Linked DNA regions of Tribolium castaneum. The protein of the gene in region 1 interacts with the protein of each later gene in a pairwise test. Links are inferred from orthologs where the notes say so. Each region holds a gene or a part of one and is shown on either strand. Other genes may lie near its edges.

Region 1 (3,517 bases):
GTCTGTTATTGAATTATCGGGAACACAAGCCGGACTATGGGCTGACCAGGCGAAGAAAAACTCTCTGGAGAGAACTCCTCGACTGCCTCAATATTGTTTTTATGAAAGATGCTGCTCCCATCTGCAGCTGCAAATGGGAATGTCCCTATTAATCCCTTTTATCGGTGATAATATTTTATCGCGCTCTATATTTTCCTTCACGTTAGTTTTGTTTGCTTGATTGAATGCCGACAAAATAACACCGAATTCAGCTCATCAAATCATCCTCATCACACTTAAATATTCGGCTGCGACTCCGACCAATAGACTCGCTTTAAAATTTTTTGTTTATCGCTTATCTCGACTTTTTATTGGTTGAGCAGTTGACGGGGCTTGGCTCAGATTAGCTCTGGGGATAGCTCCACCCAATTAAACAATCATCATTTTTGGCTGTTTTACTGGTTTTATTCAGTGTTTTGTTAGCATTTTGCCTTTCAGGGAGAGTCAAAAGTGGAAGGGCGTCATTTTGGCATAGGGATTGGTACGCAATTTCCTGCTTTTGACTGTGTGGTTACTTTAAGTATGCAGCTCAACAACATAAACATTAAGCAAAATTTCAAATTACGATTCACAATCACGTAGCACAGCAACGAATGGACTGAAATATCAACTAAATAAAAACAAAATGGTCGCCTATTTTATTATTCTGCAGTCACAAGCTTTGAAACAGTGTAGTGTCATAACCTCATTGCTCATTGTTCGTCAAGAATAAGCTAGAAAGCACGGTAAATTCATTACTGTCCGATTGCTATACAAGGATTCGTAGTAAAATTTGTGTATACGTGCGCTGCTTAAGATCATAAAAAAATTAATTATGCAGATTTCAACTTTCTAATCTAATTAGAATTCTTACACACGATTTTTTGATTAGTGAGGCAATGGCAGAATGAATTGAGAATGAATAAATTACAGCTCAGGCAGTAACAGTAACGCTCCTTGTCCATTATTCCCGGCTATATGCGAGGAATGTTAATTAGGCGCTTCCGCGGAATTTTTTTCGGGATGGTTCCTTACCTTTTAGGGTTTTGTTGGGAGGAGGGCCATCGCGACTCCATGGCGGGTCTCCATGCCCTGAGAAGTCCCTAAGTTTGAGATAGGAAATGGTGAGTCGAATGATACTAGCTTTGTCTAATTGTGAGGTGATGGCAGCGGGAAGCGGAAGCATTTTGGCTAATTCATAGAATTCGAAATTTTCTTTTCCTCTCCTCGATCGCGCAGCGTCCCTGCTTTTCTCTTTCCTAAGTTCGAGGATACTGTAACAAAAGAAGGATCACATTTAGTGGAGACGGTCCATTGAAAACGGCCTAAAACTTTTCGCCGTTATTTAGCTACCCTTAATTTAAGTGTTAACTGTTATCGGAAAACACGCCGATATTCAAGTCTGTATTGAAATCAAAGCTCCCAAAGGAACAAGTCGCGAATGAAAAGAAGTAGAAATCGGGCCGGACAACGGTCCCCGAGGATGGATAAAAGTGAAAAGTAACCTTCTCGCATCAGAATCCGGAGCGGAAAATACGAAAACCGGAAAGCTGACGGTGATGATTAGGCGATCCTAAAATGAAATGTCCAGTAAGACGAGAACTGGAACTAGAAGAATTAAGGCGGACGGAAGGGGCAGGTTAACGAGCCTTTGGAGCGCGACCGTTCGACGACACGTACAACAACGACAATCTCTTATCACCACCCCACACCCCTCCGACAAACCTTCGACACTTGCACTAGCAACACAAAAAAATTTAGCTCAACCTTTTGTACTTTCACCCCGATAAGGGCAATAGACATTATAAACCTACAGGATATGGGTATATTTTTATTCTGAAAAAGCGAATGAATAATTTAAGAAAGATTTTCTTCAACTCAAAATGTTTCTAAATCTGTACATGCCGATTAAAAAAAATTGGGAAAGGTATAAATTCAGAATTTTCTTTCATCGAATCTGTTAAATTTGATAACAGCACACATACTTATAAATTGTTTTTGTTTTATATTTTTTCATTCAATGTACTATTGAAAATTGCTCTTTTGTCGGTTTTAAATTATATTAATTTTTTGACACCTAAATAAAGTTTGGTCTCTTGTAAAAACTGAAATTGGCGCAGTCAGTAGGATTTGAAGAAGAGGCGACTTTTTTGCAAAATTCTTACGTGTTAATGTATGTTACTTGAATAAAATCTTTGGAGGGAAATCAGGTCAAATACCATATGGTGATTTTACTACCGAAAATCTTTTTGGGACATAATTAAATAACGTTTTAATTGAGCATTTCTGAGGAAGTTGAGAGTTGTGTTTGGAGCGCTGTGCGTCATTGTTTGGTGGGAAGCGCGCGTACACATGGTAGAACATTAGATCCGGAAGCTTTTTGATGTCGGTCCGGGTGTGGGTCCCCGGAGAGGTCCGGTCATTAGCGCGACATACGATTGCACGTACGTCGGCCATAAACCGGACCATCCGCGGCTGCCAGTCAGCATTCCGGCAGAAAACGTCTTTCTAGAAGACTAGGAAAGAGACGTGGGCCATTTCGTCGGTCAATCGTCTATGCAAGGGATCTTGCACTTGAGAGGAGTACAGGAGATGAAAGGCGTCCGAAACGTCCCCGGGGACGGCCATCGGGGGCGAGCCAGGCCCGGATTACCCAAATTGATAGTCGGTGTAATTTTTTTCCATTTAAAAATTAAATAAACTCTTCTAAGCCCACTGGGACAAAAAAGAAACGCGACTAACGCGTGTGCCTTTCACTTTTGGCGACTAGACTTCTCGAGTCCTCGAATTAAAACGTGTGTTGTTTGGGTATAAGTGGTGTAATCCGGCCCTGGCGCGGGGCGAGGTGTCGCCAGGTATGTTCGGCCCTTTGGACGGATAACCTAATAATCGGCAAGCGAGGGCAAAGTCCCCGAGGGCCGAAATGACGGTTGAAGTAGCATAGGCCAATTTCTACCAATTTCGGCGAAAGTTCGCCTTAATTTTGTTTTCACACGCTGCCCCTCGCAAGTGCCGTAAATTGGGCAGACGCGATGCCGACAGAGACAATTCTTTGGTTCAATTATCGGCTCCGGTCCCCGAAGACCGGAATCCCGGAATCCGTTCTTTCCGGAGTCCGGCAAAGCGGTCGCTTTTACTCGCCACCTTCTGTTATTGCGGTCCTGTTATGATCAATTCTTATAGTTTTTTCGTTTTATTGGACTAAAGGAGGGTAGTATGAGATAATGCGATTATATTGGGAATGCCGCTTTATAGGGGTGTACTAAAATAAAATGAAAACAAGTCCAATTGCCGGCGCGACGCTCTGGATTTGTTGATTCCGCTGCTTCAGCGTAATTTACTCGGCCCCTTGAGCCTCTTTCAATCACACATTGAGATTCTTCCAGATGTAAATGAATCACGACACACAGATTTGACCAACGAATTTACCCAACAACCCTCATCCAATACACAATTCATCAGATAAAATGCAAACCAAAACCACCCTCAATCCCAGTTT
Region 2 (4,131 bases), about 2.9 Mb from region 1:
ACAGCACCTTTATTAGGTTAATTATACACAATGCATTTGGAAATACGGAGTGACAAAGTCAAACAACCGTCATCGAGCCAGAAATGTGACAGATCGGTGACCTAACTAAAGCTCGAATTTGGGGCGAAGGCGGAACAATTTGCCAAGTTTTTAAAAAAGTGGTTAACTAACTCGCCGAGCTTTCGCACGCTGCAAGCTCGTTGAAATATTTTAGCGACAAGTTGCGAAAAAATGTAGTTTTATTGGGGCAAGTCATTCGTTGCAGTAACAATCCCCAGGAGAAGACTAAACAAATGCGTAGCTTGGAACAATAATCTGCCCGAGTTGGCTGTAATGCTGGCTTTACAGCTAGCATTTTTTAAATGAAATCGGAGCTAGCGTAAGCGAGCATTCTTGTTCGCGAAAAAAGATGGAACGGTATATCGACGAAAATTACAATTGCAAACTCGGCCGCGTTTGGAAAAACTTGTGAAACTCCCTCAACTATCCATTATAGGCTTGACATAACAATAGTATTGGAATTTGTGTACCCGAGAAAGTCGGACGTTGGAACAAGTTCAGGTAATGTCCAATAAATTTAAGGAGTAAAACAGGGTTTGGGCCATTGTTGACGAAACTTCAATGGCGACTTCCTCTGTCAACCCGGACTTGAGTTACCGAACATGTAGACGATTTTACTACTGCAGGAAATGAGATAGAGACAACATGTAAATAAAGTAATAAAAGACCAAACGCATCACGCATAAATATTTTTATCGCTTAAAAAATCTTTCTCAGGTAAAACTAACGTTGCTAGAATTCTGATCATTTAACCCCTTATTTTCGACGAACTATCGTTGCAGTTAATTGCAGCCGGCCATTGTAAATCATATCGACTACAAATTAAAACTGAATTTTAACGGTAAAGGTCGATTATTATCACATCATGATTCAGATTTATCGGTGCACATCCATTCCGCCTTCATTAAAATGGTTCGAGCTACAAGCAACCGATTGTTCTTCCGTAATTTTATCTCCTTGTTAAGTATTTCCAAATCTAATCCCTTATCATTCCTGACCCGATTCCAAAGTTTAGTACAAAATTTATGAACGGTCAGCAGGATAAACCTCGAGGGATTATAGCCCATAAAAAATATTTTAGATAGTGAAAACGACACGCTCACCCTTCGAAATTGAAACAATTGCAAATTAACAAGTCTCTCCCAATCATACCTCCAAACGACTTTTTAATGAATTTTCGTCTGACGCAAATACCAGACAAGAGAACAGTGGAAAACTTGTTGGTATTTAAGAAATCAACGTTACTCCACAACTAACCCCCCAAACTTTCTAAGGGTGGGCTATTTTTAAATTAGATTCCCCTTTGTCGTGCTTTATTTAGCAATGAAAATTTATGTTTATGAGCTTTAGATACTCGGCCACGTGACGGCGAGCTTTGATAAATTGACCGATCGACTCAGCGCCAAGAAGCGAACCAGTGGTCCCACAATAATTACTGAGCCCTCGATTGACCAAAAATTTATTTTTTACACATTTTTAGTTTCGTTAAAGCAAAATTTGAGACAAAACTATTAATTTTCTCTGCACCACGGACTATATGAGAGGGTGAACAACATCTAATGAACTCTACTATGGACATATATACGGATTTAGCACATCATAAAAAGTATATACAAGGTGAAATAAAGTAAACATCGGTAGAGCTATGTCGGCAAAAAGTAGGCATTGAAATGAAACAATAGAATAGAGTTGGACCCAAAATAGATCCTTGGGGGTATCCCCACATTTCTAAAGCGGATTTCACACAATTTTTGACCACCCCCACAAGCATATTACGTGAAATAAAAAAATTAGACAAAAGGGTGAACATCAAAAAAAAATATTTTAAAGGAACACTAACTAGAATGTTATTTTTCCCAGTTAATAAATATCATTAAAGAACAGATTTTATTGTATTTATCAATTTTACCATTTTCGTATTTAATACAACAAAATTCAAAAAGCACATTTTGGTCGACTTGTTACGTGTTGAAAACGTGTCTTTACCAAAATGTAGGTTTAGTGACTATAAAGTCACAAGTATATTTGGATCAGATTAATCAAACGTTGTAATTTTTTAATTAGAGCAATTTGTTTCAAGACAGCTGCTTCACAATTAGCACAATTTTGTGATGTTTCATAAGGACCCACCATTTATCGTATTTTTGAAAACAATTTTTCCGTATAGAAAACAAGCAAAATATGAAATTGGACCCAGCGCAGATTATGGAGGAGATTTCTCTTTAAAACGCACCAATTATCTTGCAGTTCTGACTGTTATTATGTCGTTATTTTTTCAAGCGACGTGAGGATCTTTTGAAATTTGTTTCACTATTTTAATTAATTTACGAAGAGCGGGAACGGTTTTGTGTTTTTCCTGAATTTTGGTGGAGCTTTGCTGTCACGTGTTACCTTCGCCTCTTGGAGTAGTGCGCGACCGGCGTGGGCTCCTGGCCCATGGGCACGGGCGCGACTTGGGGGTGGTGTGGCGGCGGCGGATGGGGCTGGAGGTAGGTGGGGGGCGGCGCATAGTGCGGGGGGCCGCCCCCGGCATACGCGTACATATCCACTGTGGCGGCACTGCTGCACCCGGAGTACGGAAACAGAGTGGCGTCGCGACGTCTTCACAGGGGGCAGCGGGCAGTGGCGTGCTTCCGCTCTCTCGACAGGCACATGGCACGGGGGCACCGGCGGGAGGCACAGAACGACGCGCTCAGAACACTGTCGCGGACTGACGATGCGGCGATGGCGGCCAACATGACTACGGCCGACGGAGAGTCGGAGAGATGAGCATTGGTGGGGTATGCCGAGATTTTAACTACATGCAGGTACGCCGCCCGCTCCGAGGCAAGGGCCCGCAGCCGCCGCGAATCATCGCTTTCTGCCCGAGCTTAGTGCTCAACAGCCCTCGGAGGTTTCCTCCTCGCCGCGCGGAGCAAACACGCGATCCTTACGCACGGTACGCGCTTTCACTACCCCTAGTGCACATGTGACCGACGGGGAGCACACACGACTGTGAGTACTCTTGCGGCTAACACATCCACACCACGACCGATTCAGGGAACAAAATTTTGGACGGTCAGCGCGATTTTAACAAACTTATTCAACGCAAAATTCAAATTTTCGGTTTTTCTCACTGACGCTACCGACGGTCGCAGGATAAAATCCAATAGAAACAAAATACGCGTCAAATACACACATCCAAATAGAATTTGCTGAACGATTGCTGTTTTAATATTTTTTCTTTCTTGTGTTGCCGGTAATTTTGCATTTCTTATTTTTTTAAACAGATATTTCAGGAAGCAAAGTTTCGATTCTCCGTCCATATTGTTCGTTTTTGCGCCATTCCATGTGGAATTATATTGATAAAAAAATAAAATGAAAAATTAAATGAAAAAGATTGAAAAATTGACAATGAGTCTCCTTTCATTTTTTACGTTTCTCTTTACTTTGACAATAATTCTGAAACTTTTTTATATCTTATAACTCTAAATTTTTAAATAAAAATCTTTGAAATAGGTCATTACTTGAAATTCCAATTCAATGTGTTTTCAGTTTTGAATATACAAAGTGAAAAAAGAGTCTAAAAATATTTTTTTCCAAATATTAAAAATTAATAAATTTTTACGCAGAAACCAGCATTTGCTAATAAATACCTTATATTTCTCTCTTTGCATGCGAATATTTTCAGTAATTTCTTAATTAATGAATTAGTACTCCCTTCCTTAAAAAAATATTATTTTGTATTATTAATTTTGTGCAAAAAAATCGTAGAAAATTGGCGCTAGCTCCCAGAATTCAGTACTAAATAAATAAAAAATTGAAATAAAGATAACTGGGGCTAATCACATTTTTTTTAATTATTGGTTTGTTTTAGAATAATACATATTAGTACAAATTTCCATTAATTAATATTTTAATATTCCTAATTAATTATTATTTATTATAAGGAGTTGTAGAAAAGTTCTGGAAAAAACTACATAGAGAAAAGTATTACGCATTTATTTAGTAACACACCCTGCTTTCTGTGTGATTAGTAGTTTTTAAGATACAGTACTGTAGTCTTGTGGAAAACTATATTTTCCTAATAAT

Evidence for each region.
Region 2: the proteins of trh (region 1) and tgo interact in a two-hybrid assay, tested with the Drosophila melanogaster proteins (3 studies listed by BioGRID). The link is inferred for Tribolium castaneum from reciprocal best matches to the Drosophila melanogaster genes trh and tgo.

The regions. Positions count from the first base shown.
Region 1 is NC_087403.1:4,375,059-4,378,575, forward strand, and holds part of trh (protein trachealess), read right to left. Parts: intron 1,293-3,517; coding exon 1,054-1,292; intron 1-1,053. UniProt on the Drosophila melanogaster protein: Transcription factor, master regulator of tracheal cell fates in the embryo, necessary for the development of the salivary gland duct, Malpighian tubules and the posterior spiracles.
Region 2 is NC_087403.1:1,484,481-1,488,611, forward strand, and holds the start of tgo (aryl hydrocarbon receptor nuclear translocator homolog), read right to left. Parts: upstream 2,809-4,131; 5' UTR 2,604-2,808; coding exon of another isoform or gene 2,594-2,603; coding exon 2,452-2,593; intron 1-2,451. UniProt on the Drosophila melanogaster protein: Heterodimers of tgo/trh are involved in the control of breathless expression. Plays a role in the cellular or tissue response to oxygen deprivation.